Linked DNA regions of Arabidopsis thaliana. The protein of the gene in region 1 interacts with the protein of each later gene in a pairwise test. Each region holds a gene or a part of one and is shown in the gene's direction. Other genes may lie near its edges.

What was found.
Region 2: the proteins of PYL6 (region 1) and TCP10 interact in binary tests that used the Arabidopsis thaliana proteins (3 or more experiments, as listed by UniProt).
Region 3: the proteins of PYL6 (region 1) and MYB77 interact in binary tests that used the Arabidopsis thaliana proteins (3 or more experiments, as listed by UniProt).
Region 4: the proteins of PYL6 (region 1) and RCN1 interact in binary tests that used the Arabidopsis thaliana proteins (3 or more experiments, as listed by UniProt).

What each region holds. Positions count from the first base shown.
Region 1 is NC_003071.7:16,842,172-16,849,511, reverse strand, and holds PYL6 (PYR1-like 6), read left to right. Parts: upstream 1-3,317; 5' UTR 3,318-3,687; coding exon 3,688-4,335; 3' UTR 4,336-4,924; downstream 4,925-7,340. Other genes in the region: DREB2C (Integrase-type DNA-binding superfamily protein), read left to right, coding at 1-847. UniProt on the Arabidopsis thaliana protein: Receptor for abscisic acid (ABA) required for ABA-mediated responses such as stomatal closure and germination inhibition.
Region 2 is NC_003071.7:13,218,332-13,225,827, reverse strand, and holds TCP10 (TCP domain protein 10), read left to right. Parts: upstream 1-3,218; 5' UTR 3,219-3,758; coding exon 3,759-4,844; 3' UTR 4,845-4,850; intron 4,851-4,965; 3' UTR 4,966-5,350; downstream 5,351-7,496. Other genes in the region: EMB2785 (elongation factor family protein), read left to right, coding at 7,284-7,496. UniProt on the Arabidopsis thaliana protein: Plays a pivotal role in the control of morphogenesis of shoot organs by negatively regulating the expression of boundary-specific genes such as CUC genes, probably through the induction of miRNA (e.g. miR164). Participates in ovule development.
Region 3 is NC_003074.8:18,555,593-18,562,758, reverse strand, and holds MYB77 (myb domain protein 77), read left to right. Parts: upstream 1-3,432; 5' UTR 3,433-3,707; coding exon 3,708-4,613; 3' UTR 4,614-5,152; downstream 5,153-7,166. Other genes in the region: AT3G50050 (Eukaryotic aspartyl protease family protein), read left to right, coding at 5,644-5,915, 5,994-6,114, 6,201-6,628, 6,741-6,897, 6,992-7,074, 7,163-7,166. UniProt on the Arabidopsis thaliana protein: Transcription factor involved in auxin response. Functions in auxin signal transduction and modulates lateral root growth. Interacts with ARF response factors to promote auxin-responsive gene expression.
Region 4 is NC_003070.9:8,948,068-8,957,476, forward strand, and holds RCN1 (ARM repeat superfamily protein), read left to right. Parts: upstream 1-3,094; 5' UTR 3,095-3,243; intron 3,244-3,606; 5' UTR 3,607-3,632; coding exon 3,633-4,025; intron 4,026-4,119; coding exon 4,120-4,366; intron 4,367-4,562; coding exon 4,563-4,675; intron 4,676-4,808; coding exon 4,809-4,888; intron 4,889-5,109; coding exon 5,110-5,251; intron 5,252-5,334; coding exon 5,335-5,415; intron 5,416-5,597; coding exon 5,598-5,702; intron 5,703-5,787; coding exon 5,788-5,970; intron 5,971-6,051; coding exon 6,052-6,144; intron 6,145-6,314; coding exon 6,315-6,454; intron 6,455-6,553; coding exon 6,554-6,620; intron 6,621-6,709; coding exon 6,710-6,832; 3' UTR 6,833-7,093; downstream 7,094-9,409. Other genes in the region: AT1G25480 (aluminum activated malate transporter family protein), read left to right, coding at 400-739, 924-1,061, 1,163-1,432, 1,532-1,668, 1,762-1,908, 2,195-2,809; AT1G25500 (Plasma-membrane choline transporter family protein), read right to left, coding at 7,370-7,549, 7,641-7,874, 7,973-8,089, 8,175-8,402, 8,517-8,700, 8,798-9,255. UniProt on the Arabidopsis thaliana protein: The A subunit of protein phosphatase 2A serves as a scaffolding molecule to coordinate the assembly of the catalytic subunit and a variable regulatory B subunit. Seems to act as a positive regulator of PP2A catalytic activity.

The sequences.
Region 1 (7,340 bases):
AGGTAAAGGTGGACCTGAAAACGGGATTTGTGACTATAGAGGAGTTAGACAGAGGAGATGGGGTAAATGGGTTGCTGAGATCCGTGAGCCAGACGGAGGTGCTAGGTTGTGGCTCGGTACTTTCTCCAGTTCATATGAAGCTGCATTGGCTTATGACGAGGCGGCCAAAGCTATATATGGTCAGTCTGCCAGACTCAATCTTCCCGAGATCACAAATCGCTCTTCTTCGACTGCTGCCACTGCCACTGTGTCAGGCTCGGTTACTGCATTTTCTGATGAATCTGAAGTTTGTGCACGTGAGGATACAAATGCAAGTTCAGGTTTTGGTCAGGTGAAACTAGAGGATTGTAGCGATGAATATGTTCTCTTAGATAGTTCTCAGTGTATTAAAGAGGAGCTGAAAGGAAAAGAGGAAGTGAGGGAAGAACATAACTTGGCTGTTGGTTTTGGAATTGGACAGGACTCGAAAAGGGAGACTTTGGATGCTTGGTTGATGGGAAATGGCAATGAACAAGAACCATTGGAGTTTGGTGTGGATGAAACGTTTGATATTAATGAGCTATTGGGTATATTAAACGACAACAATGTGTCTGGTCAAGAGACAATGCAGTATCAAGTGGATAGACACCCAAATTTCAGTTACCAAACGCAGTTTCCAAATTCTAACTTGCTCGGGAGCCTCAACCCTATGGAGATTGCTCAACCAGGAGTTGATTATGGATGTCCTTATGTGCAGCCCAGTGATATGGAGAACTATGGTATTGATTTAGACCATCGCAGGTTCAATGATCTTGACATACAGGACTTGGATTTTGGAGGAGACAAAGATGTTCATGGATCTACATAAGATTTCAAATTTCGTTTGACTGGCCTAAGTTTGTGATTCTGCTCCGAGACGGTGTAGCTGTTACTAGCTAGAAGCTGCCCTTCTTTGAAGCTACTGATACTTTCTGATATTAATGGTTGTGAGACGTAGTACATGTAGTTAGGTAATGTAGGACAAGTTCAAATATGATTCCTTCTTTCTTTTTCTTGTGAATACATATGACATATGAAGAAGTTCAAACGTTGGGTTTAGAAAAAGTTTATAACATTCGGTACATATCAAAGTTTTGAACTTCGGATGCATATAAGCTATAAAGTTTTGATCTTTGAACTTTGGATACTCTCACATCTAATTTTCATCCTTAAGAATGGAGATGGAATAATGCGATGTTGCGTAGTGGTTTTATTGACTTGGCAAGTTTTGATTATTCAAGAAACTTGGCTTAGTTTAATGGAAATATCCAGTAGTGGAGTTTTTTGGTCTGCAGACTTTCCTCAGGTTGTCTGAGATTACATAAGCAATGAGGTATGAATAATAAAGTTATCATTAGAGAGTTATCTATCTGTATTTTCTACAAAAGGCAAATTGGGTATTTGAAAGTGCAAATGGGACATAGTTGTATATTATTTAAAAGGCTTTAACTATTCCATTCTGGTCTCCAAAATCGTTTTTCTTGCTCGAATCTTGAAGATCTTCTAAGCCTTTAGAAAAATGAAGAAATCAAGTTGGCAAACTGTTAATTAATTAAATCCAATGAATTGGTGGGTATTGCACCTCCACAAGTTCCCTTTGACAATGTGTCCTCTTCTCCGCAAGAATGAGATGCAACTATTTTGGACAATTTCTCCTTTTAATTACTTTTTGATCGATAATCTTCTCTTAATATCACGTTGTAATCTGATTCATTCAAATATCTATCGAAATTTAAGCTTATCTTTGATTTTTTCGATACTTATTTTTGAAATTTTAAGTGCATTTTGTTTATAATCATAGTTGGGGATTTAATAATTTTAGGTGGAATAATATTTTATGCATATTGGAGATTTATTTCTCGAGAAATATTCACAAACAAACAAACAACCGGCTTTTGCACAAAAATAATAATGACATGGAGTCGAGTTGTTTATACTAATGTTTGTCACTATCTCACCATTGGAATTTAAATCTTGGATATATAATACATGTTTTGACAAAAAAAAAAGTTGGCACAAATTATGTTGTTGTAACAAAATACGTCTGATGCATTGATTTGAGATTGACTCTTTGAACCCAAAAATGTATCACCGTAATATTAATACATTTTCCACATCAACTTGTAATCTATTTGTGTTCAGTAATATATTGGTGAGTGATTATGTCACCTAACCCGAAAGCTTATAAGATGAGCAATCTTTATATCGAGGATGGTGCAAAAAATAGCAAATTGTAACTTTTTGTCCTTCTTATTCTATAAAATGTCAGATATAATTAGTACTGCAAATTGCTCGCTTATTCGTATTAATCTTAACAACTAGGGCTACTTGGGAATATGTATAGTTGTTGGAAAAACTAATGCATTAGATAACCCTTTATTATTTTTCCCAATTGTGTTTTGTTATTATGCCCACCACTCAAATCCAAGAGTCCAATATATTCATATGATTTGAATATACGTTTGTGGAAGAAAACACACCCAAGAAATATTGTCCAATTCGTAAATTTCCCTGACTTTACGTTGGTTACTTTTAGCAAACTGCTTAGTTTGATTTTCTTCTAATTCGTCTTATTAATATTCTGTTCTTTTCTTTGTTGAAAAGGAATTTGATTAATACTTTTTTTAGTATCGTCGAAAGGCTCAAGTTGATTACAAGATGAGGAAAGATTATTATGATGGACCCATGACATGATATCTTCACCAACTTGGAACATTGAAAGTCCTATGGAGTTATTTTTGAAATTTTTACCTTAGTCAGAAGGTTCCAACAAAATTAAAAATCCACCAAAAACGCATCCAAGAATAGTACCAACTGAAAATAGATCGGCAATCACAAAGACAAAGGTCGGTCCTCCCAACCAATTTGTTTCAAGAATTTTTTCAAACCTATGCATAAATTAAGTATAGCTCTTAACCAATATATATAGCTTAACCAACTCGACACATAGTGATCATGTTCTTATAATCTTTAATAACGTTTTAGAGTTAGCTATATATATAGCCTCGAGACAGTAGAAGATTGAAATATCTATGCAAAACCTCAAAGATAATGTTCAATGTTTTTATATTCTGAATATTGATATAATCGGTGAGATAGAGATGAGTTCAGAATTTTTTTCTCGGTATCTTAAATGATATTGATTTCATTTTCTCAACTTTCATTCAAGAGTGTTTTTGGTTAAAACATAAAAACGTCCATTCTAATTATAGTAATGCTTGTGTGGTTACGACAACATGCTCATTCATTGTAATAAACTGGTGAAATATATAGCACCATTGACAAATAGACAGCCTCAGTAACAAAGCAAGGAAAAACAAAATTAAAATTTAATAACCGGTTATATTAAATATCGAGAACCAGTCCGTAGAATTTCATGGGAAACCGGGCCGGTCCTTGATATAAAGAAAGAGAGAGACGTTTCTTAACTGAAGCAGTACACAAACTCCAAACAAATCCCAAGTGGACAACCGAAGAACCCACACAAACTAACTCTCTTTCCTAATCCACATACTTGCATTTTTATATATAAACACTCTGTCCTTATATAGTTCTGTATATTACATGTAAATATCTCTCATTAATACAACCTCACGAAGAAAACCATTTGTTTTCTTAGAGAGAGCCAAGAATATTAAAAGAGATATAGAGAAAAGATTTGCTTTAATAATGCCAACGTCGATACAGTTTCAGAGATCCTCCACCGCCGCAGAAGCAGCCAACGCCACCGTAAGAAACTATCCCCACCACCATCAGAAACAGGTTCAAAAAGTGAGCCTCACGCGCGGGATGGCTGATGTGCCGGAGCACGTGGAGCTTTCCCACACGCACGTGGTTGGTCCTTCTCAGTGCTTCTCCGTCGTGGTACAAGACGTGGAGGCTCCGGTTTCCACAGTCTGGTCGATCCTAAGCCGCTTCGAACACCCTCAAGCGTACAAACACTTCGTGAAAAGCTGCCACGTGGTTATCGGAGACGGTCGAGAGGTTGGGTCGGTGAGAGAGGTCAGAGTCGTCTCTGGTCTCCCCGCGGCGTTTAGCTTAGAGCGGCTTGAGATCATGGACGATGATCGCCACGTCATCAGTTTCAGCGTCGTTGGTGGGGACCACAGACTCATGAACTACAAGTCGGTGACGACGGTGCATGAGTCGGAGGAGGACTCCGACGGCAAGAAGAGGACACGTGTCGTTGAGTCATACGTCGTTGACGTACCGGCGGGTAACGATAAGGAAGAGACTTGTAGCTTTGCTGATACTATAGTACGGTGCAACTTGCAATCGCTGGCTAAACTCGCCGAGAACACTTCTAAATTCTCGTAATTACATTTTTTCAATCTTTTTATTTTTATTTTATTTTCTATATTTCTCTCTTTCAAAATTTATCTTTTATTTTTGGGATTCTCGAGGTGGTTTTGGATTTTAAGATTTAAGTATTTAACTATCGTCGGGGATTTTTCGAAACTAAAACAAAAAACAAGAATTATATCAAACAAGATGGTTTTGGTTTTTCGAAGTTAGGGTTTTTAGGGTCTGTTAAATGTATGTCTCAACGATACTTTGGTTTTACCCTTAAAACCATTTCTTCTTGTACAGCTCTCGTAGCTTTATTATATAAACATTGATTGTTTAGTTATTTTCATAATCTTCTTCTTGCGCCGTATTTTACATATTTATTATTTGTCTTTTAATTTAGTTAATCATGAAACAATATAGACTATATAGTGATTCAGCTATAATGCATGGGGTATATTGTTACGATATTTCCGATATTATTATGTCTAATTTCATTAATTTTGATAACCTACATAATAATGTATTACACAAACAATTTGATTAATATAATCATTGGCATATCTACTATATATGAAGAGATCTGAACAATTGTGGGCAATCAGAAAACCCATACATGTGCTGATTGAGATGATTCGTTTTCCTTTATGTTAAGAGAAGAACAAAGTAAAACTATACATCATTTGAATTTTATTGAAATGTATAAACAGTAGAATACTACTTGGTGTTTTAAATGAATTTGCTCACCAGCTATATAATCAAAGCGTTCAATCCTAAAAGCAAAGATGGAATAATATCAATTAGTGATAATTAAACTTGAACCAAGGCGTAATGCATGTATTGAGTTATGTGATATAATCTTAAGAATTTTCTTTATGGCATATATAATGCTAGGCCAAAATAAATGGTGTCAGGTAATACAGCATTATATCTTTAATTCCCTAATTTGGAAACGTAAAATTTTCAAATTATTTGTCATTTCATCAACAAACTTTACATAAATACGTAAATGTTTTGTTTTTACTCACCAAAAAAATAAATCAAAATTATTTACATACCAAAATGATAAAATTTCTTAGTTCCTTTTATAGTTTTGGGATGCGTGAACCGTTTCAATAATTCAAATGTCAAAATTATTACTTTTTCGGATTTCCTTGTCCTATATATTAGTTCATGAATAAAAATGTACATTTGAAAAATCAAATAACTTTATCTAGTTATATAAATATAAAGAATCCAATGAACAAGATGAAAAGACATTCAAAGTTTGCAAAAGCAAAATGTGTTTAGTTACTTTATAATTAAGTAGTAAGATTTCGAGACTTGTGAACCAAATTCAAAATTGAATACATATATAGACATTCATGTATATGATCGTACGTAAAATGCAAGTTGGGGTGTAATAAAATCCAACTTGTTATAGAAAAAAAACAAAGCATGCAAGTTGCAAAGGAAAAAAAAAAAAGTCGCTACTATTCTTTGACACCTTTAAAAAATATTCCATAAATAAAAAAAAGGTTAAAGAAAAATCAAATTGATTACATAAATGATTATTAATTTATTATCATAATGAGTACGAAATATATATGTAAACATTGTCGTGGAAGGAAGGAATTGCAAGTTGATATGCAAGTTGGCAAGGAGGCTATTAATGTTTTCCCTCTTTTGGTCGTTTGTATAATGACATTTAAACCCACCCACCTTTCTTATTTTCTTTTCTGTCTTCCTATTTCTGATCACTATTATTATATTACTTATATTTTATTTCACATTTTTTTTAATTTTATAAACCCATAAGAAATTTTTTTCCCTTTTATTTACATATGAAAACATATGTATTCCCGTGTCAAAAAAATGAAAATTCTGACCAATCCAGAGAGATACGATTTATGGGGTTTGTATATTCCAATGTGGCATGTTGCATATAAACTACTACTATTTAACTAGTTTCTTAATAATTCAAATCCAAATAAACATGCATAAAAGATTGTGATAACGTACATAGCTGTGATATAATATGCATTACTTTTAAAAAGCAACGGAGATAGTTCGTATTTTCATATAGTCTTTAGCTGGGCTATCTAACACTTTAACTAATTAGAATAAGATATAAAGTTTGCTATAAAATGTAAATAGATGATTTATCCAATATATACATATGAGTGTGTCTGAAAAAGGCAAACCAAATTCAATGTAACGTGAAGAACACCGCCTCCTTCCTTAAAGTTTATTGGGGATAGATATTTTCGTCCATGATTTTAACTTCTACGATTTTAGGTTTGGAAGCATTTCGGTGTGAGTGGTGTGTAATGTTGAAAACATCAACGCGGATAAAAATCTTCTATATAGTAATTGAAAATTATCAAATACGATTTTAAAATTAATGAAAACGTCGATTTACTATTTGTTTATTAGGTTTATATACATGGTTTGCTACCAAAAATATAAAATTCTGAATATATGAGTTCACAGTTCATTCGCTTCAAAATAATATTTTCATTACCTTCATATTATAAAAATCATCTTAATTTCACAAGTTTAACAAAATTATATTAACGAAATTGTTTGATTTTATATTTGTGAGTGTGTGTTTATAACCTGAATTTGATATTATTGATTTATTGTCTATCTTTATTTTATGTAAGATTAGATTTTTTTTGTTATGATTTGAATTTTCTTACTTCCATTCATGTTCGGTCTAAGACAATTAAACTTGTGTGTTAATACTTTTTATGTGTGTCCAATATAGAAAACAACATAAAACAATTAAGCCCAATAAAGGCCCATCGGAACACCGGAACACGAGTTTTGTCAGTTAGGTTTGGCGAATCAGCACTTATAAATTAGAAGATTACAGTAGAGACCACTTTTTGTTCTTTTTGCTACATTACATTAGTTAGACTGTTTAGAGGCTACTTATCATTCTCGATTTGTCAAACCTTTTTATCTCACAACCAAAAAAGACAATATCAATTCAATGACTAAATTTTACAATTTCTCCACAAGATCTCTTTCCAAACTCAAAAAGCGCTGTC
Region 2 (7,496 bases), 3.6 Mb from region 1:
ATTTGTGTTGGAATTCTTCGAGACAGGGGTTTTACCAGCTTCCACGAATGATGCTCTGCTTGTGTTAATAGCTAAAGTGGCCAAGCCGGAACGCATTCAGCAGTTTAGACCGGTGAGCTTATGTAATGTTTTATTCAAAATAATTACGAAAATGATGGTGACCCGGTTGAAGAATGTCATCTCTAAGCTAATTGGGCCGGCCCAAGCGAGTTTCATCCCTGGGCGTTTGAGCATTGATAACATTGTGTTAGTACAAGAGGCAGTCCACTCTATGAGGAGGAAGAAGGGGCGGAAAGGCTGGATGTTACTCAAGCTGGACCTTGAAAAGGCCTATGACCGTGTTAGATGGGATTTTCTTCAGGAAACGTTAGAAGCTGCTGGACTGTCTGAGGGTTGGACAAGCAGAATAATGGCAGGAGTTACAGACCCTTCAATGAGTGTACTGTGGAATGGTGAGAGAACAGACTCTTTTGTACCGGCTAGGGGATTGAGACAAGGGGATCCGTTGTCGCCGTATTTGTTTGTACTCTGTTTGGAGAGACTGTGTCATTTGATAGAGGCGTCAGTTGGAAAGAGAGAATGGAAACCGATAGCAGTGTCATGTGGGGGGTCGAAGTTGTCACATGTCTGCTTCGCAGATGACTTGATTCTCTTTGCAGAAGCTTCGGTAGCGCAAATTAGGATCATTCGTCGGGTGTTGGAACGGTTCTGTGAGGCCTCGGGACAGAAAGTCAGCCTAGAGAAGTCGAAAATATTTTTTTCTCACAATGTGAGTAGAGAAATGGAGCAATTGATAAGTGAAGAGAGTGGGATTGGTTGCACTAAAGAGCTGGGGAAGTATTTGGGTATGCCAATCTTACAGAAACGAATGAATAAGGAGACGTTTGGAGAAGTGTTGGAAAGAGTTTCAGCTCGGTTGGCGGGTTGGAAGGGCCGATCTTTGAGCTTGGCAGGGAGAATCACTCTGACAAAAGCGGTTCTGTCTTCTATCCCGGTTCATGTAATGAGTGCGATTCTTTTACCGGTCTCTACGCTTGATACTTTGGATAGATACTCCAGAACTTTTCTTTGGGGGAGTACTATGGAGAAGAAAAAACAACACTTGCTATCTTGGCGTAAGATATGTAAGCCGAAAGCTGAGGGAGGGATCGGATTACGGTCTGCTCGTGATATGAATAAGGCCTTGGTAGCCAAGGTGGGGTGGCGTCTGCTTCAAGATAAAGAGAGCTTATGGGCACGGGTTGTTCGCAAAAAGTACAAAGTGGGTGGAGTACAAGATACTAGCTGGCTGAAACCACAACCAAGATGGTCCTCCACGTGGAGAAGTGTGGCAGTAGGGCTCCGGGAAGTGGTGGTTAAGGGCGTTGGATGGGTGCCTGGAGATGGGTGCACAATAAGGTTCTGGTTGGATCGCTGGCTGTTGCAGGAGCCGTTGGTGGAGCTTGGGACTGATATGATACCGGAGGGGGAGAGAATAAAGGTGGCAGCCGATTATTGGTTGCCGGGATCAGGTTGGAACCTGGAAATTCTGGGTTTGTATCTGCCAGAGACAGTTAAGAGGCGGTTGCTCTCGGTTGTGGTTCAGGTTTTTCTGGGTAATGGAGACGAGATATCATGGAAGGGTACACAGGATGGGGCCTTCACAGTCCGCTCTGCGTATTCCCTCCTACAAGGTGACGTTGGAGACAGGCCGAATATGGGGAGCTTCTTTAACAGAATCTGGAAGCTGATCACGCCTGAGAGAGTACGGGTGTTTATTTGGTTGGTGAGCCAGAATGTGATCATGACTAATGTGGAGAGAGTCCGGCGCCATTTGAGTGAGAATGCTATATGTTCGGTGTGTAATGGAGCCGAGGAAACAATACTCCATGTGTTGCGTGACTGCCCCGCTATGGAACCGATTTGGCGTCGGTTGCTGCCACTGAGACGACATCATGAGTTTTTTAGCCAGTCTTTATTGGAGTGGTTATTTACAAATATGGATCCAGTAAAGGGGATTTGGCCTACTCTTTTTGGTATGGGAATTTGGTGGGCTTGGAAGTGGAGGTGTTGTGATGTGTTTGGGGAACGAAAGATTTGTCGGGACAGGCTGAAGTTCATCAAAGACATGGCGGAGGAGGTGAGGAGAGTACATGTTGGTGCTGTTGGTAACCGGCCTAATGGTGTGCGGGTGGAAAGAATGATCAGGTGGCAGGTTCCAAGCGATGGGTGGGTGAAAATTACCACGGATGGAGCGTCCCGTGGGAATCACGGGCTGGCTGCGGCAGGAGGGGCCATCCGGAATGGGCAGGGGGAGTGGCTAGGTGGTTTTGCACTAAACATTGGATCTTGTGCAGCGCCATTAGCCGAGTTATGGGGCGCCTACTATGGGCTGCTCATTGCGTGGGACAAGGGGTTTCGACGAGTGGAGTTAGACTTGGATTGCAAGTTGGTGGTGGGTTTTTTAAGCACAGGGGTAAGCAACGCTCATCCGCTGTCCTTCCTGGTACGGTTGTGCCAAGGCTTCTTTACGAGGGACTGGTTAGTCCGTGTGTCACACGTGTATAGGGAAGCTAACCGTCTCGCTGACGGGTTAGCAAACTATGCCTTTACCTTGCCGCTAGGGCTTCATTGTTTTGATGCATGCCCAGAGGGAGTCCGTTTACTTTTGCTCGCAGATGTTAATGGAACAGAGTTCCCTCGAGCTGTTTTATTGTAATTTTTTGTAGTTTGTTCTTAATAAATTGGGGTAGGCAATTGCCACCCCTCAGCTTACCAAAAAAAAAAATCATACTAGAGTCAAATTATTCCATTGTCGACTTTGATTAGCATGTAATCCTAAGCCGACCAATGTGTGTGTATGTTGTGTGAAACATATGCTTTTCAAGTTTTAATTAATTAGTGAAGGAGGATTTGACATTAACCAAACAAAATATTACAAATTGGTGTAACTAAGATATGATATATGTTCATTTATTGATGTTTTTCAATTTTCCTATATTCCTTATTATATGATATATATAGTTATGTATGTTTCAAGAATTCGATATGGCACGCATGATTGAAGAATAATGATTGAGGAATTTTTCTGTAACAAAAAAATTTGAAATAAACAAATATGTGGCTAAGAACTTAACAAGGACACATGTTGATATGTGAAATAGGAATCTTATAATAAGGAACAAAAGGTTGAAAGCAAAAGGGTATTTATTTAGTTTACTTTCCTATTCTGAACCCTTAACTTCTGCTATCCTTTCCACCAACAATCTAATAGTATACTCTCTCTCTTTTTTTTCCTCTTCTTCTTCTTGTCCTTCGATTTTAGACCAACTAAACATATCAATATATTAAAGTAGCATCTCTCTCTCTCTCTCTCTCTCTCTCTCGCTCTTTTATTTTTAATATCAATTTTGTTGTCCAAATTCTCATCTCTTTGGGAAAACCCTAGACTAAAGATTCCAATCTCTTTTCTTCTAAATATTTCTTCATTTTTTCCCTTTTTTGATTTGGGTATGTTGGGTCATTGAATCTTGTGACTGCCATGGCAGATCTTTTGGGGATCTGCATAGAAGAGTTGCTTCTTGTAGCAGCTTTCAGGTAGCTGTGTCCAGCCTGCATCAGATGTTATTAACTCACTACACACCAAACACCACAATAACAACAAAACGGCAAGCATTTTGAAGAGGTAAACAAAGCAAGTGGGCAACAAAAACGGCACGCAAGTTTTTCTTCCAAGTTAAAACAACTCTTGGAATGTCATTTTGAAAGGTAAAAAAATAATGGGACTTAAAGGATATAGCGTCGGAGAAGGAGGAGGAGAGATAGTTGAGGTTCAAGGCGGTCACATAATCCGAGCCACTGGACGCAAAGACCGTCATAGCAAAGTGTTCACATCAAAGGGTCCACGTGACCGGCGCGTGAGACTCTCAGCTCACACGGCGATTCAATTCTACGATGTGCAAGACCGGTTAGGTTATGACCGGCCTAGCAAAGCCGTTGATTGGCTCATCAAGAAAGCCAAAACCGCTATTGATAAGCTTGAACTCGGGGAGACTACTACTACTACTACTCGTCAAGAACCGGTGAATACTAAACCGGAATCTCCCACTTTGGTTTTCCAAAGAGAGAACAATGACCAAACGCAGTTCGTGGCGGCCAATCTTGATCCTGAAGACGCAATGAAAACGTTTTTCCCGGCGACGACAACAACAAACGGTGGTGGTGGTACAAACATCAATTTCCAAAACTACCCTCATCAGGATGACAACAACATGGTCTCAAGAACAACAACACCACCACCAAACCTTAGCCAAGATCTTGGTCTCTCTCTTCACCCATTTCAAGGGAACAACAACACAGTCGTAGTTCCCGAGACCAACAATTTCACCACGACTCATTTCGACACGTTCGGGAGAATCTCTGGATGGAATCATCACGACTTAACTATGACGTCATCATCCTCATCAGAACATCAACAACAAGAACAAGAAGAAAGGAGTAATGGTGGTTTCATGGTGAATCATCATCCTCACCATCATCATCATCAACCGTCGATGATGACATTGCTTAATAGTCAGCAACAACAAGTGTTTCTTGGTGGCCAACAACAACAACAACAAAGGGGTACCCTTCAGTCCAGTTTATTCCCTCATTCGTTTCGTTCTTGGGATCATCATCAAACGACGTCGGATCATCATCATCATCAGAATCAAGCTTCTTCGATGTTTGCTTCATCATCACAGTATGGTTCTCATGGGATGATGATGATGCAAGGCCTTAGTTTCCCCAACACTACAAGACTACTCCACGGAGAAGAAGCTACTCAACCAAACTCTTCTTCTTCTCCTCCAAACTCACACCTCTAAACTAAGGTTTGCTTCTTCTTTTTAATGTATTTATATATTTTAAGTATAATAGGTTATTAATCAAGAAACCAGACAATAATTAAATCTTTCATAATTAAATTACCACATGTATTTCTTTCAGACAACCATGGAGGTTCAAATTCATGATGACATGCATTGAACAAGAAGGAGGAAATTAATGTGATGAATGGAGCTAGAGTAAGCGCTATATTAATTAGTATTACCATCTATCCATATATTTATGATTCAAGACTATTATTACTCATTTAGTGTTTGTTATTATTATTCAATTTTGCTTGTTTGTTTCTTATCATCTTTGCATTGATCATCAAGATTGTGATATTTGAAAAGATGGGTTTTATGTGTGTTTTGGTTTAGTACTGGCGTTAGGCTGGGATATTGTAATCTCATATTTTTGTTCTACGAGTGAGTTTGAATTTTCTGGTTTTTACTTGCGGTTTCTATTTCTTCGGTTAAGTAAAGAGTAATTGAAGAACGTTAAAAGCATAGGTCGTATTACATGAGTAATGAAGAAAAAGGTGTTCATTATCATCTGTGCAGATACCAATTTTCTTTTGTAATATAGCTTAGCTTGCTAAAAAGTTGCGACTATTTAATAGAAAAGTCAAATTTATTACAAATTTGGGATTTTTATGAAAAAGTTGCTATTGAGTATTCAATGCTTTGTGACAGTGATACCAAAGGATCTCGATAGTTTAGTCTGCTTTACTTGGTCTAATTGGGTTTGACAGAAGATTTTTCTATAATTCATCTTGAAATAATTGTTTTAGTCATATAGATAGGCGGGCTATATAGAGAATGACATTTATCACTTTTTGGCACTTTTACATATAGTATATATATATGTACATATATTTGGTTTGATGAAATACATGATAATATATTTAGGTTAAAGGAGTTTGTACTTTGTTGTCACATGATGATCATTAATATTTTTCCCAACGATGATCATCATTTTTATACAAGACGTTAAAAGCTACAGAATGTTCGTACTTTTAAAAGTCATCTACTGCGAGAATGACTACTTTGGCCTTTTGATTATGGATTGTGCTTGGATTATTAGAAGAGTTCAACAAAAGGATTACAACTTCCATCTACAGTTTTGTTACAAAAGGATTGTACTATATGTAAGTGTAACCCAACAAACCTAAACCAACAGACAGGAATGCGGTAGAGCAAACCGGTACAATCAAAATCAAACACCCTTCATAAAACTATATCGGATACGCCAAACAATATGAAAATATATGTCTCTGTGTTTAGTTTTTTTCGTGAAAATAAGATTCCGAGCAATATGAAGAGCTAAAGTGTTGTCACTGTAGAGTACACAGAGAGAGCATAAGAAGCATGCTTTATATATTTACATAATATAAAACCAAAATATATATTTACATAATATAGGCAATCCAAACATGTTCACAAATTCCAAGAGCCATAACTTTGTATTTAGCTTTGATAGACAATGAAATGGATGAATTTTCATTGAACATAAAATCCAAGATACATAGTACATACGAAATTGTGGATAACTTGCCTAGTCATAAGCAGTGAAACCTCAAATATATAGGTCTAGAGCAGCAAAGTAAAAACAAGCTTTGTCCAATGCTTCCTTTAAGAAACAAACAATCTTATGAACTATATGTCCCTTGGTGCATATGAGAATTGACCTTGTTTACCACCAAAAGAAACATTATCAGACAACATCTCGAAGATGTAACTTGCGTTGACAAACATAATGGTTTTTTTTTTATCTAACAATTTCCAAAATAGATAAGTACCGAAGATGACCAAGATCCTTGAGTTGGAAGTAATTAAATAGCCGAATTGTCAATTACAAAAAAGAACCAAAATATCATATGGTATCATCCACATAAACCAAAATACCAACAAAACTTTACCATAATACAATATATATGATCAACATTAAATATTATCAAATCTCAAATAAAAAATAATAAAGAGTTCTAAGAACATTTGTGGATAGATCATAAATAGATTTATAAAGTTTGCAAAAATCTATCATGAATTCTCCTTTTCGTCCTACAAATATTACATAACAATATGTAAACCACTTCATCCATATAAGCTGAGTCAAATTCTCAGTTCATCTTCGCTATATGTATCAACTTATCGGAATCACTTCTATTATTAATGGAAAAACCGAATATCACATAATGAGAGGTTTTAATTTCTACATAAAACTATAAAAGCCATGGTTGTATAATCAAATAGGACTGTGGGAGTAATATAAGCAATTGAAAAGTATAGGGAAAATATAAGATTCTACAAGTGATAATGTCCTATTTTGTAAATAACGATCAAATAAATTCCAAACAGTTTTAGACCAAAAACCCTTTGGTCATCGTCACCAGAGATTAGATCTAAAACCCTATCAGAGACCATTTCGCGTGAACAAAGATGGCGGGGCCTTTGCTTCGATCTCTTTGGTCAAACACCACTCGAAGATCCTTCTCTTCTCATTCATCACCTTCCAAATTCGGATACTCGCTCTCCTCCTTACGCTCCTTTTCAGCAGCCACCGCTTCCACAGCTGCAGCCGGAGCTCCTAATAGCTCGCTTGACCCTAATCGACTAAGAAACGTGGCTGTGATAGCTCATGTCGATCACGGG
Region 3 (7,166 bases), on another chromosome or scaffold:
CCAAACTAGTTTTTTTGTTTGCACCACTATAAAAAATGACGAAGTAATTAATTTTGTTGAATATAAATTCATATGATATAATTTATTTATATATATTTTTGTTGATTTTTGTTTTTTCAATCAATCTCGCAATTGATTTTTTGGATATGTTTTGTTTTCATAGTCGAACGATGAATAAACGAAGAAGACAAAGTTTTTTTGTTTCTTAGATTTTCATTAATTATAATAAACAATAATATTAATTTAAATGAAATTAAAAAGATCATATTAAACAAACATAAATTACAATAATATCAAGATGATCAGACTCAATGGTTTGGTTGGTGGCTCTTCCTCCTCAACCAAATGAATATTAAAATGCTAAAATTTGAATATTCCAATTTGGCTTTCTAAATTTTTAGTTTGTCTACGGTGAGTTATGAATAACAATTCTATATCTATTTTCTAAATAGAAGTAACAAAAATGAATTAACTTTATACAATTACACATTTAACCACATTGGAAGAGAATGGTATCGAACCCTTGCTACCAAGAGAGCTCGGCTAAATGGAACAACTAACACTCAATATGACTAACGGCAACAACATGAATATCTTAATAAATACGAATACAGTTTATCCTAAATGTTACTTATTATTTGTATATGTGTAGAGAACATATTCATACGAATATTTTTGGGACAAGATAACAATTTTCATTCCTGTAAATAAAATTCCACTAAATGGTAAATAACTCGAAAGTCTCGAATGATACAATGAACTCAGTCAACATATATTTGTTTTTCCGCCTCTTACACCGACTAATCTACCACCGTGTGTTAGTATTATGATCTTTATGTTATTTAAAGCTTATCGTTGTTTAGATATATCGAACGAGTTTTTCTGTTAGGCAAACCTTACAAAAATGAATTTAAAAATTAGGAGAACAAACCCGACAATCGAAGCATGGACCCTAATTAACAACAAACAGCAAATGATATACTTTGATTTATATATTCACACATCGTGCACCGTCTTGTTCCTTTTGACAACAACCTATTACCAATATTTTAATTACAATGTTTCTAAGACACACATTGTTGGAATTATATTCTACATCGTGCACCGTCTCTCAGGTATATGTGTTCACCAAATGTTCACGTGCATCTTTCAAAATCTAGCTAAGTGTACAGCAAAAGTACGTGTCAATTATACATTGACCCAAAATAAAATGTTGGATCCGAAATGAAATAGATCTAAACAATGTTTAAGTAACACGAAACAATTTACGACAAAAAAAAAAAGTAACACGAAACAATTTACAAATCCTCAATTTAGTTTACAAACCAATAAAACTTAACATGGTATATATTATAGTCTAATTCAACCCATATAATATAACCTAAATAGGATAAGTTTTCGATTAGAAATACACCAAGAAAACCATCATTTAAATATGACATGTTAGAATGTGGAACACATAATAAAAGTAAACATATTGTTAACTTTTATAACCAAGACTAAGTGTATTATTATTATTATTTTTTTTTATTTTTTTAAAATATTAGGAGGTTTTGGGCCGAAACCCGTAATCTCTACAGACCCAAAATTACAGCATATAATATTAGTTTCGTCACTAGAATGTATTATTAGTATGAAAGAAATAACAATTAAGGGAAAGTTTGGTCAGTAAACTGAAAACCAACAACATCAAAACTGAAATAGTTTCGGTAATCCGTTTATAATTTGACTAATTAGTATGTAACTAATTCGACATAAAATACGGAAAAAGATAAATTAAAAAATAAGTTGTGAAACCGTTCGATGAAGGTTGGGAAGAAGGTGCAAATGACGTTTAGTGCGTTACTAACGTAAGAGACAGTTACACACAATTTCAAAAACAGTTCCAAAAATTTGACACGTGGCAGTTTGCTTAATGGACGACAGTTAGTTGTTTGTTGAGGATTACAGCCTGGATTTTCGTCAATCAAAAACTATATATTATAAATAAATATGATTTCATTCACATTCCAATTGGCCTAACACTCTTTTGTCGTGTTGTCCATGTCAGCAAATTTTATTTTTATTTTTCCGACCACTTACTTTTATCTTGTGTGGCCGTTTCTTTGTAACAAGTTTATGAAACAGAATATTAATCGTATCTAATCATATAAATGTAGTTTCCCGTATTGTGTAAATACTATATGACTTTGATTTGGGGCATTCAAAAACGTACCATTAACAAATAGTCACAGACAAAAAAACCATACAAAACTGAACCACATTTCTATAAACGATACAAATATTTTTATCCCAAATTTGTAGCACTAGGCAGTTTGAACCTTTTTCAGTTAGAAAGATAAACCAAAAGGAAGTAAAAAATATTAATTTCATCGCTCAAAACTGTTACAATTACTGTTTAACCAGTCATAAATTAGTTAATGTTTTTTTTTAAAAATGTGTAATCAAAATTTTACTTTCAAGAGTGCCAGCTCTATACTTGCAATTACTTTAAAATTTAAAAATATACAAATTTTAAATTATGTGTATTGTATTCTCGAGAAAAAAAAAAAAAGAAATCTATGAATAATTAAAACGTAGCATAACCGTTACAAGTATAGTTTCAAATTCAACGAATCAAAATACTTTTTTAAAAGTAGCTAATACTTTTCTCGTTTCAAATTAAATGTCGTTTTGCATATTAATTTTTGTGTCATATTAAACGTCGTTTTATATTCTATGCAGATTTTATGTATAAACTTTATTGGTCAAAAGCGTTACGAATATCGTTTCAAGTTCAACGAATCAAAACATATTTTATAAAAACATCTAATACGTTTTCCGTTTCAAATTAGATGTCGTTTTGCATTTTAATTTTTGTGTCAGTCTAATGTCGTTTTATATTTTCTACACATTTATATTTTCAAAAATTTCAGTTTTATTTTTATTGTTTAAATATATCATCCAATTTGAAAATAATACAATACAATAACAAAAATAACATTTAAATTAAACAAAAATATTTTTAGAACACTGTGATCAAATTTTATCCTCCAATATTTCCCGACCCATAAACTTTAAACCTTATGTAACTTCAAAAAAAAATTCAAATTAGTCGTTTTGTATTCTACAAAATAAAATAAAAGGAAAAAAGTTTCAGAGAAAAGGGTAAATTTGCATAACAAGGAATACAGGCTGGCGTGTCCAGTCAAAAAAGTCAGAAATCTGCATAAAAAACTGTCTTTACCCAAACTGCCAAACCTAACCGTTATCGTCTCAGATATTATTATTATTTTTCAAATAAACATTCAAAACAGCTTTCTAATTTTTCACCTCAGATTGTGCGAATAATATCAGAGCTCTTTCCTTGTAGGTTTCCGTGATTTTGTCGCTTTAACTTCCCTTCTTTTCCCACTCTCTTCTCACGCGCGCGTGCTTCCCCTTTCTCTCTTTCGACTGTATCACACGCTCCATAAACTAATAAACAGACGCACCGAGATCACGACACGTGTACACCTACAGCTGTATCCCAAAACTTTCAAAACCGCTTGCGTGGAAGAAGCGGTGCATGACTTTCTCCACCGTCTCTACCGGTTACCGGTTATTATCCATCCTCCTCTCTATCTCTCTCTCTGTTATAAATACCTTTTTTCTCCTCTCTTCAGTTTCCTCCACCTTCTTCTTCTTCTTCTTCTTCTCTACAACAAACAAACAAAAGATCTGTTTCAATGGCGGATCGTGTTAAAGGTCCATGGAGTCAAGAAGAAGATGAGCAGCTACGAAGGATGGTTGAGAAATACGGACCGAGGAATTGGTCTGCGATTAGCAAATCGATTCCAGGTCGATCTGGTAAATCGTGTAGATTACGTTGGTGTAATCAGTTATCTCCGGAGGTTGAGCATCGTCCTTTCTCGCCGGAGGAAGATGAGACTATTGTAACCGCCCGTGCTCAGTTTGGTAACAAGTGGGCGACGATTGCTCGTCTTCTTAACGGTCGTACGGATAACGCCGTTAAAAATCACTGGAACTCTACGCTTAAGAGGAAATGCAGCGGAGGTGTGGCGGTTACGACGGTGACGGAGACGGAGGAAGATCAGGATCGGCCGAAGAAGAGGAGATCTGTTAGCTTTGATTCTGCTTTTGCTCCGGTGGATACTGGATTGTACATGAGTCCTGAGAGTCCTAACGGAATCGATGTTAGTGATTCTAGCACGATTCCGTCACCGTCGTCTCCTGTTGCTCAGCTGTTTAAACCAATGCCGATTTCCGGCGGTTTTACGGTGGTTCCGCAGCCGTTACCGGTTGAAATGTCTTCGTCTTCGGAGGATCCACCTACTTCGTTGAGTTTGTCACTACCTGGAGCTGAGAACACGAGTTCGAGCCATAACAATAACAACAACGCGTTGATGTTTCCGAGATTTGAGAGTCAGATGAAGATTAATGTAGAGGAGAGAGGAGAAGGACGTAGAGGTGAGTTTATGACGGTGGTGCAGGAGATGATAAAAGCTGAAGTGAGGAGTTACATGGCGGAAATGCAGAAAACAAGTGGTGGATTCGTCGTCGGAGGTTTATACGAATCCGGCGGCAATGGTGGTTTTAGGGATTGTGGAGTAATAACACCTAAGGTTGAGTAGTTTTGGTTTAGGGTTAAAACTTGAATCGATTGGGGATTTTCAAGAGCATTCATTTTTGGGGTTTATGGTAAAATTAAAAACAAAAACAAAATGTACAGAGGAATTAAAATTTCTATGGAATAATCTTAAATCTCAAATATTTGTTACTTGTTTTGGTGATTCATAACCAAAATCTATAACAAGTCTAAATCTAAAAATTGAACCTTGATTAGTGAGACATTATCATACAAAGAGACATACTGAGTTAGTCAACAAAATGTAGGATAACTACATTCTTACATATTGTATAGATGAATTTCATGTTAATCCTTTCATAGAGCTATACAGTAACCATGATTAGTGAGACCTTGTAACATGTAGTATCAAAATCAACAAAGGTATAGATTTAACATCTATTTGAAAACATTCGAACCTTTTATTTGAAAATCTTTTGCTTGTTGTAAGAGATTTACTCTATAGTCTATAGATAGTAATTAAACCTTTTCTATAGGTTTGGTAGATTACTTCACTTTTATATAAAATTAATTACTGTCAAATCGGATTTTTGTTAACATAATTATTTTTCGACAATTTAGAAATTATCGTAAAAATTAGATCAATCTTTCTACATTCTTACAAAAAATAAATACATTGTCTAGAAAATCAGTTTTTTTTTTTCGTTTTAAATCTATAAAAAAACTGACAACAACAAAACAATACATACTTTTTAATTACTATAGAGTAAAATCTCTTACAACATGCCAAAGATTTCAAATAAATTGTAGGAAGATTTTTATGTTATTTAACCATTCTACAGTATAAATAAACACTGGTACAGCGATGTTAAAAAGTAGAGGTTAAAAAAATGCGTTAAAAACACAAAAGCTACGTCGTTTCAATAACTGGGTTTTGTCTCAAAGAAAGCTGCTTTTGGTTCCCGTAGATCTAAAGTTACGTTCGAGTCTCCCCTCTTCTCTCCACTCACTCAGCTCTTTTGATTCCCCTCCAATTTTCTCCGACGGTACGGTCGAAAAATCCAACCGGAGATCAAATGGCACTGCCGTCGATCTCATCAATCGGCGCGACGTTCTCACTCCTAATCTATTTATCTCTTCCTTATTCAATCACAGCTGGTGAAAACAACCTCCTCCACCAATCTCCAACCGCTAGATCACGACGTCCCATGGTGTTCCCATTGTTCCTCTCTCAACCAAATTCTTCTTCGAGATCCATATCAATCCCACATCGAAAACTCCACAAATCCGACTCAAAATCACTTCCTCACTCTCGCATGAGACTCTACGACGATCTTCTTATTAATGGGTAATCTCCTTTTCCATATTTCCCGATCTGGGTCATGTAAAGATGTCTCTTTTATATACTATTATATCGTATTTGTAGGTATTACACTACGAGGCTTTGGATTGGTACACCACCACAAATGTTTGCTCTTATAGTTGATTCTGGTAGTACTGTTACTTATGTTCCTTGTTCTGATTGTGAACAATGTGGCAAACACCAGGTAATGATGGCTCTAGATATCCAAATCTTGTGTCTTGTCTCGTGTAAAGTTGCAAATTTTGAAACTTTCTTATGGTTATTGATCAGGACCCAAAATTTCAGCCAGAAATGTCTAGCACTTATCAACCTGTTAAGTGTAACATGGATTGTAATTGTGATGATGATAGAGAACAATGTGTTTACGAGAGAGAGTATGCTGAACATAGTAGTAGTAAAGGTGTTCTTGGAGAAGATCTTATTTCATTTGGCAATGAAAGCCAGCTAACACCTCAACGAGCTGTTTTCGGTTGTGAAACTGTTGAAACCGGTGATCTTTATAGTCAACGTGCTGATGGGATTATTGGATTAGGTCAAGGAGATCTTAGTCTTGTTGATCAATTGGTGGATAAAGGTTTGATAAGCAACTCTTTTGGTTTGTGTTATGGAGGGATGGATGTTGGTGGTGGTTCGATGATTCTTGGCGGTTTTGATTATCCATCTGATATGGTGTTTACGGACTCGGACCCTGATCGTAGGTATGTTTCCAAGGGAATGGCTTTTTCTGATTGGTGAATGGGATCTTGTATAATCCTAACAAATACGTTTAATACCTTTCACACATTTACTCTAGTTTCGGGATGGCGACAGTCCATATTACAATATAGATTTGACGGGGATACGTGTTGCTGGGAAGCAGTTGTCTCTTCATTCGAGAGTCTTTGACGGGGAACATGGCGCCGTACTAGACAGTGGTACAACATATGCTTATCTTCCAGACGCAGCATTTGCGGCATTTGAGGAAGCTGTAAGAACTGTTCTGAGAATTGTTAATGTTTAGTTAAGTTCCCTGTTTCTCTGTTGCTTATCTTACATGAGGCTCTTATCTTGTTGTATTGAAGGTAATGAGAGAAGTTTCCACATTGAAGCAGATTGATGGTCCTGATCCAAATTTTAAAGATACTTGCTTCCAAGTCGCTGCAAGGTATTTATTATCTCTTGCAAACTTGTGGTGTATATCATAACTTATAATCAAGGCAAGTAACTGACTCTTATAATTGTTTATGCTGAAGTAAT
Region 4 (9,409 bases), on another chromosome or scaffold:
GCCTAATATTGGTAAGAAAGAAAAAATATCGTACTTTTCAATGTCCTTAAAAATACAAATTTTTATGATTTGACTACTTCCAAATTTCTTTAAATGAGTTCAAATTCAAATATTTAAAATTTCGTAAGAAACAATATACATATAGAACAAGAAACATCTTTTATGGACGGCCAAATCATGTTGTTTTTTGCTCTACAAATGAAAATCATATACTATTACTAATTAAATTATATGTTGTCTTATAGCTTCGGAATCTTTCTAAACATGATTCACCCCTTTTCATTACAGGACCCCACTATAATTAAGGTTTCTTCTAAAGTGGGATCCATCTGATCGAACCATCTCATCTCACTCTCAGTTTATGAAATCGTGATCTTTTGGAAGAAGAAATCAACGCAAATGGCTGACCAAACTAGAGAAGCCTTTCTCTCTCGAAAAGCTTGCTCAGATTTCGGATTCAATGATTCAAACATCATCGATGACCGTCGTTCCAAGTTCCGGTGTTTCCGATTTTGCTCCGACGGGATCACTGCTTCCTGGAAAGCTTTATACGACATCGGTGCTAAATTATACGAGATGGGTCGTTCCGATCGTCGGAAAGTTTACTTCTCCGTTAAGATGGGGATGGCTCTCGCACTCTGTTCTTTCGTCATCTACCTTAAAGAACCACTCCGTGACGCTAGCAAGTATGCTGTTTGGGCGATCCTTACTGTTGTCGTCGTCTTTGAGTATAGTATAGGTACTGTGACTCACGAATTCTATAGATTCAGATCGATTCTGGGGTTGTTGTTGTTCGATCAAATCTTCCGGATTTTGATTAAAAATCAAAACTTTCGTCTTCTTCGATCTAAATTCTCATTAGATCTGTCTTAGGATTACTTGTCTTCAGAGATCTAATTTGGCTCTAACTCTGTTTTTTGAAGGAGCAACATTGGTCAAAGGATTTAATAGAGCTATAGGAACACTCTCTGCTGGAGGACTTGCTCTTGGCATAGCTAGACTCTCTGTTTCAGCTGGAGAATTTGAAGAACTCATTATCATTATCAGTATTTTCATTGCAGGTTGCACTATTTCTCTCAATTTTTATTAGAAATGAACCTTTTTTAAATAAACATACTAACTTTATTTTTGATACTTGTGAATCTGTTGGTTTGTCTATCAGGTTTTTCTGCAAGTTATTTGAAACTATACCCGGCGATGAAGTCGTATGAATATGCATTCAGGGTGTTTTTGTTGACATACTGTATTGTTCTTGTGTCTGGAAACAACTCTAGAGATTTTTTTAGCACTGCTTATTATAGGTTTTTGCTTATCCTGGTTGGTGCTGGTATCTGTTTGGGTGTGAACATATTTATACTTCCCATTTGGGCTGGAGAAGACCTCCATAAACTAGTTGTTAAGAATTTCAAAAGTGTGGCCAATTCACTTGAAGGTAGAGAGATACGTCAAATGGCTGTTTTCTCTTGTTTCGTTTCGGGTTTTGGCTGTTTTTTTATGTCTTGTTTTGTTTGTGCTTTCCTAAAACTTTCAGGATGTGTTAATGGGTACTTGCAATGTGTTGAATACGAGAGGATTCCTTCGAAGATTCTCACTTACCAAGCTTCGGATGATCCATTATACAGTGGATACAGGTCTGTAGTCCAATCTACGAGCCAAGAAGATTCTCTGGTGTGTTTTCCTTAGGACACTTTTGTTGAGCAGCAACTAGATAACTTGAAAAGGATTTAGATGATAAGATACGATGACCTCTTTTTTCCTCAGCTTGATTTTGCAGTATGGGAGCCTCCACATGGACCATATAAGACTTTCCACCATCCATGGGCAAACTACGTCAAACTTAGTGGCGCAGTAAGGCACTGCGCTTTCATGGTCATGGCAATGCATGGCTGCATTCTTTCGGAAATTCAGGTAACTTACCATATTCTTGTTAAATACAACTTTATCTATCATAGCAAATGAGGTGCTATAATGGTTATTAGAGACTATACCAACCTGCTTCAAATGCTACTAGTACCTCTTCGTGATTAACTAGACTGTTACTCTGAGAAGTCGGATATTTGTCATATAATTGTTGAGTAGGTGCAAAGTGGGATCTCCTAGTTTACTGTTGTTACTAGTGAATGGTTTTCTTTGAGTTCAATGCTTGTCGTATGCCCTATAAGACTTGTGATATCAATTGGTGTGGGATTTGCAGGCAGCTCCAGAAAAAAGGCAGGCTTTTCGTCAAGAACTTCAAAGAGTTGGAAACGAAGGAGCCAAAGTCTTGAGGTTGTTTGGAGAAAAGGTGGAGAAAATGGAGAAGCTAAGCCCAGGGAACGTTCTCAAGGATGTTCAAAGAGCAGCAGAGGAACTACAGATGAAAATAGACAGTAACTCCTTCCTACTTGTCAACTCAGAAAGCTGGGCTGCTATGAAAGAGAAAGCCGAAGCTGAAGAAGCGCAACAAAACTATCACGAAGCCAAAGACGACGAGTCTAAAGTGATTCAATCCCTCAGCCAGATATGGGACAATAACAACAACCCTCATCATCAGAATCAACACGCTGGTAATGATTCTCAGCTATGGATATCAACAGAGAGTATGATGCTTAGGAACCGCGAAAACTGGCCAAGCGTCTCTTTCATAGGCGGTTCTATGATCAATGAGATAGAATCCAAAGTATATGAAAGTGCGAGTTCTTTGTCGCTAGCTACATTTGCGTCTCTTTTGATCGAGTTTGTTGCAAGGCTCCAAAATATTGTTAACGCGTATGAGGAACTAAGCACTAAAGCCGATTTCAAAGAACAAGTTAGCGAGACACGGATATAGAAAAAGCTGGACTCTGGACCAGACTCAGTAGCTGCTTCAGCTCCAGGGATATAGTTGATTTTGTATAGAAAATTATATACATTATTGCTTTGTTTGTTTGCTGTCTTGAAATAAGTTCCTAATTCCTTTTTGTTTTGTTTTGGCAAAGTCATAAACTCAATTGGAAAGTTTTGTTTTTCTTTCATTGTATCAATTGAATCAACTGTTTAATTTTTTAAAGCAAAAAATTGATTAAAGCCCAACATAACCCAATCCTAAGAAAGCCCAAAATGGCCCAATTAGACACTTTCGTCATTTTATATCTTTCCCTTTAATAAATCCTTCGTAAAAAAAAATCAAACGCAGAATATTATTTTTCTCGCTCGCGAATTCCTCTTTCTCACCTTTTCTCGCTCCTGGGAATCTGAAGCAGTTCTTCTCCGACGCCTGGATCGGTAAGTTGATTTCCAGTTTCTTCTTAACGAATCATAAGATCTCATCTCTAAACCTTCATTTTCCGATTCACATTCCCTTTAATCCAACTTCGAACCGGTGAATCTGAACCCATTTCTCGCTTCTTCTGTTTTATTCATACCCGATTCGTTTCAAAATCTGCAGTATAGTCTTAATCTGTTTGTGCAAGTAGAGAAAAATCAATAAAGCCGAAGATAACACTCGAGTGGCTATAATTGTTTTTTCCCAGGATCTGTAAATGATTTCTCGTATTTATTACTAAATATTTTATTCGAGATCCGAAAATATCTATTGTTTCGTCTCTTATAGCAATGAGCTCATAGGAATTATTTTTGGTGTTGCAGTGATTTGATTCGAACTTTCACATAAGATGGCTATGGTAGATGAACCGTTGTATCCCATTGCTGTGCTTATAGATGAGCTTAAGAATGATGATATTCAGCTTCGTTTGAACTCGATCCGTCGCTTATCTACTATAGCTCGTGCTCTTGGAGAGGAGCGTACAAGGAAGGAGTTAATCCCTTTTTTGAGTGAGAATAGTGACGATGACGATGAGGTGCTTCTTGCAATGGCTGAGGAGTTAGGAGTTTTTATTCCGTTTGTTGGAGGAATTGAGTTTGCGCATGTTCTTCTTCCTCCTTTGGAATCTCTATGTACTGTTGAAGAGACTTGTGTGAGAGAAAAAGCTGTGGAATCGCTTTGTAAGATTGGATCTCAGATGAAAGAGAATGATCTTGTTGAATCTTTTGTTCCTCTTGTGAAGGTTAGTTTAGGAGATTTATGTAGCACTAGATTACGCCGTTTTGTTAGTTGGTTCAATCAAAGCTTTTTTTTTTGTTTTGTTGTTTGTCTTGTAGAGGTTAGCGGGTGGTGAATGGTTTGCAGCAAGAGTTTCTGCATGTGGTATATTTCATGTTGCATACCAAGGTTGCACTGATGTGTTGAAGACTGAGTTACGGGCTACTTATAGCCAGTTGTGCAAAGATGATATGCCAATGGTGCGAAGAGCTGCTGCATCTAACCTGGGGAAATTTGCTACAACTGTCGAGTCTACCTTTTTGATTGCTGAGATCATGACTATGTTCGATGATCTTACTAAAGATGGTACTTAATGTTTGAATATATCGTACTTTATATGTGCTCATCACTTAGAAATAGTTTGCATAGACCCAAGAGTATGGTAAAGAGATCACATTTGAATTAATAAACGCTGTTTGATGAAATATATTGGATACTTACCTCTTCAGAAATGTTTGTTTTATCTGTGCTTATATTGGTTAAACTTTAACCTTCATTTCAGACCAAGATTCTGTGAGACTATTGGCTGTTGAAGGGTGTGCAGCTCTTGGAAAGTTGTTGGAACCTCAGGATTGTGTTGCACGCATTTTACCTGTTATTGTTAATTTCTCTCAGGTGAATTGAGCTTTGTTTTTTTCATTCATGGATTTTTCAGTTAATTGTCTGCTGTTCCATGTTTAATTTTCATCGGTAAAAGCTTGCTGTTCTGATGTTTTTCTATGGTGTTTGTATTGATTTCTGAGAGCAGGATAAATCTTGGAGGGTGCGCTACATGGTTGCTAATCAGCTATATGAACTTTGTGAGGCAGTGGGTCCTGATTGCACGAGGTATGTGTTTTGTGACATTGTTGATTTTTTTGTCATCCTTGCTAATCTAGGCTTTCGTTCTCGTAAAACAGTTTTGTGACCTTCAAACAAATATGCATCTAAGAGCGTCTATTGGAAGTTTTCTTTATTCTTTTTCGTTCATATAAGAGCCTTCCATGGTAGTTCTATGTTTGTACATGTATCTTTTTATTTTGACACAATTTATGTTATAATATCTCTAGGACGGATTTGGTTCCAGCATATGTGAGATTGCTAAGGGACAATGAGGCTGAAGTGCGAATAGCAGCAGCGGGAAAAGTGACCAAGTTCTGTCGGCTTTTGAATCCAGAGCTTGCGATTCAGCACATCCTTCCTTGTGTGAAGGTAAGACTCCTTAAATTCTATATAAACGAGTTGTTTGATGTCCCCTGTCTCGTAATATTCTGATACATACTGATGTCTGGCAGGAATTATCATCGGATTCTTCTCAACATGTCCGCTCTGCTCTAGCTTCAGTAATAATGGGGATGGCTCCTATCCTTGGGAAGGTATGAACTGAAGATAGCCAACATTTTCGCATCTTGTGACAATGTTCTGAGATTTAATTTGTTTTATGGTTTTCATCAACAAAATCAGCCATACCTTGTGTTATGGCGTGGTTATACCAGCCCCAACTGGTGTTGCAGACCTTATCAAAAAATTATTAACATACTAAAATCTTTCAATACAGGACTCAACCATTGAGCATCTGTTACCAATTTTTCTTTCCCTTTTGAAAGATGAATTTCCTGATGTGCGCCTTAACATCATAAGCAAGTTAGATCAAGTCAACCAGGTTTGTTGCATCTCTCTTGTGTGCTTTAGATACTACTTTTATTGCTTCCTTATTTAGTTGGTGACTGAATTATCTTTTACGGCAGGTTATTGGAATTGATCTACTATCTCAATCCTTGTTACCGGCCATTGTAGAACTTGCTGAGGATCGGCACTGGAGAGTCCGACTTGCAATAATAGAGTATGTTCCACTGTTGGCCAGCCAGTTAGGTATAGGATTTTTCGATGACAAGCTCGGAGCCCTTTGCATGCAATGGCTGCAAGACAAGGTTTACCTTGAATCTTTGATGTTTGCATAAATTTCTCATTCACTTGTTATTGTAGATATTGACACTGTTCTCCTCCTTCAGGTCTACTCTATCCGCGAAGCTGCAGCAAACAACCTAAAGCGCCTCGCAGAGGAGTTTGGTCCTGAATGGGCAATGCAGCACTTAGTTCCCCAGGTATTCTTTGAGCATTTTATACTAAAACCATCTGTCTGTTTATCTTATTGTTGATCTATGTCAAGTACCTCACCTATAACATCTAATCTCCAGCTTTGGTCCCTTTTCTTTGGATATCACTAAAGCTGCAAATATTGAGATCTCCAGATTGACCTTTATCATATAAACAGGTATTGGACATGGTCAACAATCCGCACTACCTACACAGGATGATGGTTCTACGCGCAATATCTCTCATGGCGCCTGTAATGGGATCAGAAATCACATGCTCTAAGTTTCTTCCTGTGGTTGTTGAAGCATCAAAAGACAGGTACAATAGATAGATTAGAGGATATGAATAAGCCAAACTAGTTTAAGAACACTTCTTAGTTTTTAATGTGTTGTTGTTGCACACCTCTTATCTCTGCAGAGTTCCAAACATCAAGTTCAACGTTGCCAAACTTCTGCAATCCCTCATCCCCATAGTCGACCAATCAGTACGATCATAACAAACATAACTCAGTTATATCGAAAACTAATGGAAATTGTTGAATTTTAATGTTTTTGCCGTGTCAAAAATTTGTAGGTGGTGGACAAAACAATCCGTCAGTGTTTGGTGGACCTGAGCGAAGACCCTGATGTTGATGTTCGTTATTTTGCAAATCAAGCACTTAATTCCATCGATGGTTCCACAGCAGCACAATCCTGAATTGTTTTTTTTTCATATGTATGATCGTTAAGTTAAGTTTCTATTATTCGTGTTCTCTGCAATTTATTTGGTTTGTTTGTGTAAAACGCCATTTTGGTTGCTGGCTATGAACTGCAACTATTTTTGTTAGTAAAATTGTATTACCTTTTTTACACTTTCTGTTGTTCCAAACCTTATACATTCTTCTTAGTTTACTAATGCTAACACTACTCCCTTAGTGAAACTATTTGAGATAGAGTGAAATGCGTGTGGCTATGTTTGGTCTTCTGACTAGTTCTTGTTTCAAACTTTATCCAACCCCTCTAGATCAACTTTGTTCTATTCAATTGATTTTGTTTTTCTAATAAACACAAAAATCAATACATTAGATTTTGATACAAACGCCCACAGCCTCCTATTCATGATTCAACAAATAGAAAGCATAAATCATTTGACAAAATAATTTTAGCCACAAGGGTTAGCCCGCTTTTAGCACCCTCTAATAGCATAATATTCTACAGTTATATCTCCTATTTTCCAAGAGGAGGCATAGGCTAATCAAGCGGTCGTCAAAACTTCACGGGCTCGCGAGCTACGATGTTGGAGACGACGGTGAAGCACCTCAGACATCTCAGTGTAGAAATCAGCATCCCATCTCTGAATCAACAAAGGATCTTCAGCAAAACATATGTATATCGATGTCACAGCGCTTTCGACTACCACCATTCCTAAACCCACCTGAACACCACATTGGATCAATGAAACAAAGTGAACAAGTTGGTCATGTAATTTTTTGGGTGACTAAAAGAGTGCACAAAAGAAAACTCACAAGAACCATTCCCATCAACATAGCCGTAGATGCAACCATTATAACTCGGTCACTGTACTTGATCCAAGCCCATATACCAATGCAAGAGCCTGTGATGAGTCCTCCAAAGATGGTTCCCATCAGAAGTACAGCACCAGAGCAGTCATATGCAACAAGTGCCTCTACACCTGTCGACTGAAACAATTCCCATGCGTCTCTTGCTGATTTGTTGAATCCTTTTCCATACACTGCAATCTGATAATTAACCAAACGTTTTTTTCATTCTGAGTCTCATTGCTCATAGGAGGGAGATGATGAGCTTGTTTAAAAACTGTCTATATTTATATATATACCTGGACGTATGCATACTTGTTAAAAAAACGAACTAGTGTTTCAACTAGATGAAACAGGAAATCAACGCAGCAAAGTAAACATTCGTTTCCACAAATCTTGGACCGGAATCCCCTTATCTGCAAAAGAAAGTTGCAGACTAATGTTATTAACAAGAGGAGCAATGATAATGTTTTACGAACAGCAAAGGATGCTGGAGACTACCTCCCAGCGAAGTGTTCTAATGGCAGCAGTGAAGAGTGAACCGTAACATATGCTCCCAAAAGATGTTGTCACGGCATACCTAAGTGAGTCTACCAAAGAGCTAGGAGGCAACGATGATGACTCTTCTTGACCACAGTGAAAGAGAACATGAAACACCATCCCAGAAACTATAACATGGACAGTGTTACATAGCACAGCGCCTGTCCAGAATAAGCTAACCGAAAGAACCTGCATATATATTATATGTTCCAATGATTGAGTGAATTCTAAACATGTTTACTTTCAGACACTTAAAGCAGAAAACAGAAACCGTGAGTAAAAATGCAAAACTTGCCAGCTCACCACAAGAAGCCACCATCGTCCCTCATCGCCCATGCTCGATGCCACAACACCAGCTGCTCCAAAAGACCATAGAGACATCCACAAAAGCATGACTACTGTGAAAGCATGTGCCACCATTATCACCTTAGGAAGTCCCCAGACTAATTTCAGCGCTTTCCGTAGGACCAGCATTGTGAAAGGAAGTCTACACATGAACAACTCAAATCATCAGAACTAAAAAGTTGTTGCCATTTGACCATAGGGGTTCAGTCATAGTTCAACCAGTTCAACCTCGGACGCACCTGTCTATAACTGAAATAACATACAAGAACTGCAACAGAGATCCAACAGCGAATGCACCGCCCCAAAAGAACAGTCTGCACCAGAAACATAGTACACTAACTACAGCTAGATAGGTTGTTAAGATGTGAACCGAAACTTTCATCATCTCATTGGCGTAAGAGCCAAGCAGCAATGACCAAACCCAACTGATAAAGACTCCAATGCCACCAGCAACAGCATAGAGAGGCCAGTAATCCTCTGTTAGACCTTTATGATTCTCCAAGAACCCTTGAGTGTACCTATCGATGTTTAACCTATCTGATATTCTAAACCTATTGAGTCCAAGCACCGCGAGCACAAATCCCAAACAAATCAAGTGGATCACAAAGATGGCTGACCAGAATACATCATGCCAATGGCGGGACTCACGCACAACGGCTCGGTTTCCATCTCCACTCCTTCGACTCCGCTGAAGACTCTGCAAATCAAAATGAAAACATTGATTCATTCAAATTACATCATGGACGAGTCTGAGACCTACAAAAAGCTATGCTTTAACATAAGCAACGACTCTGAAACTTCATATCAGTACAATGCAAATACATAAAGTGATCAAACTCACACAAGACACA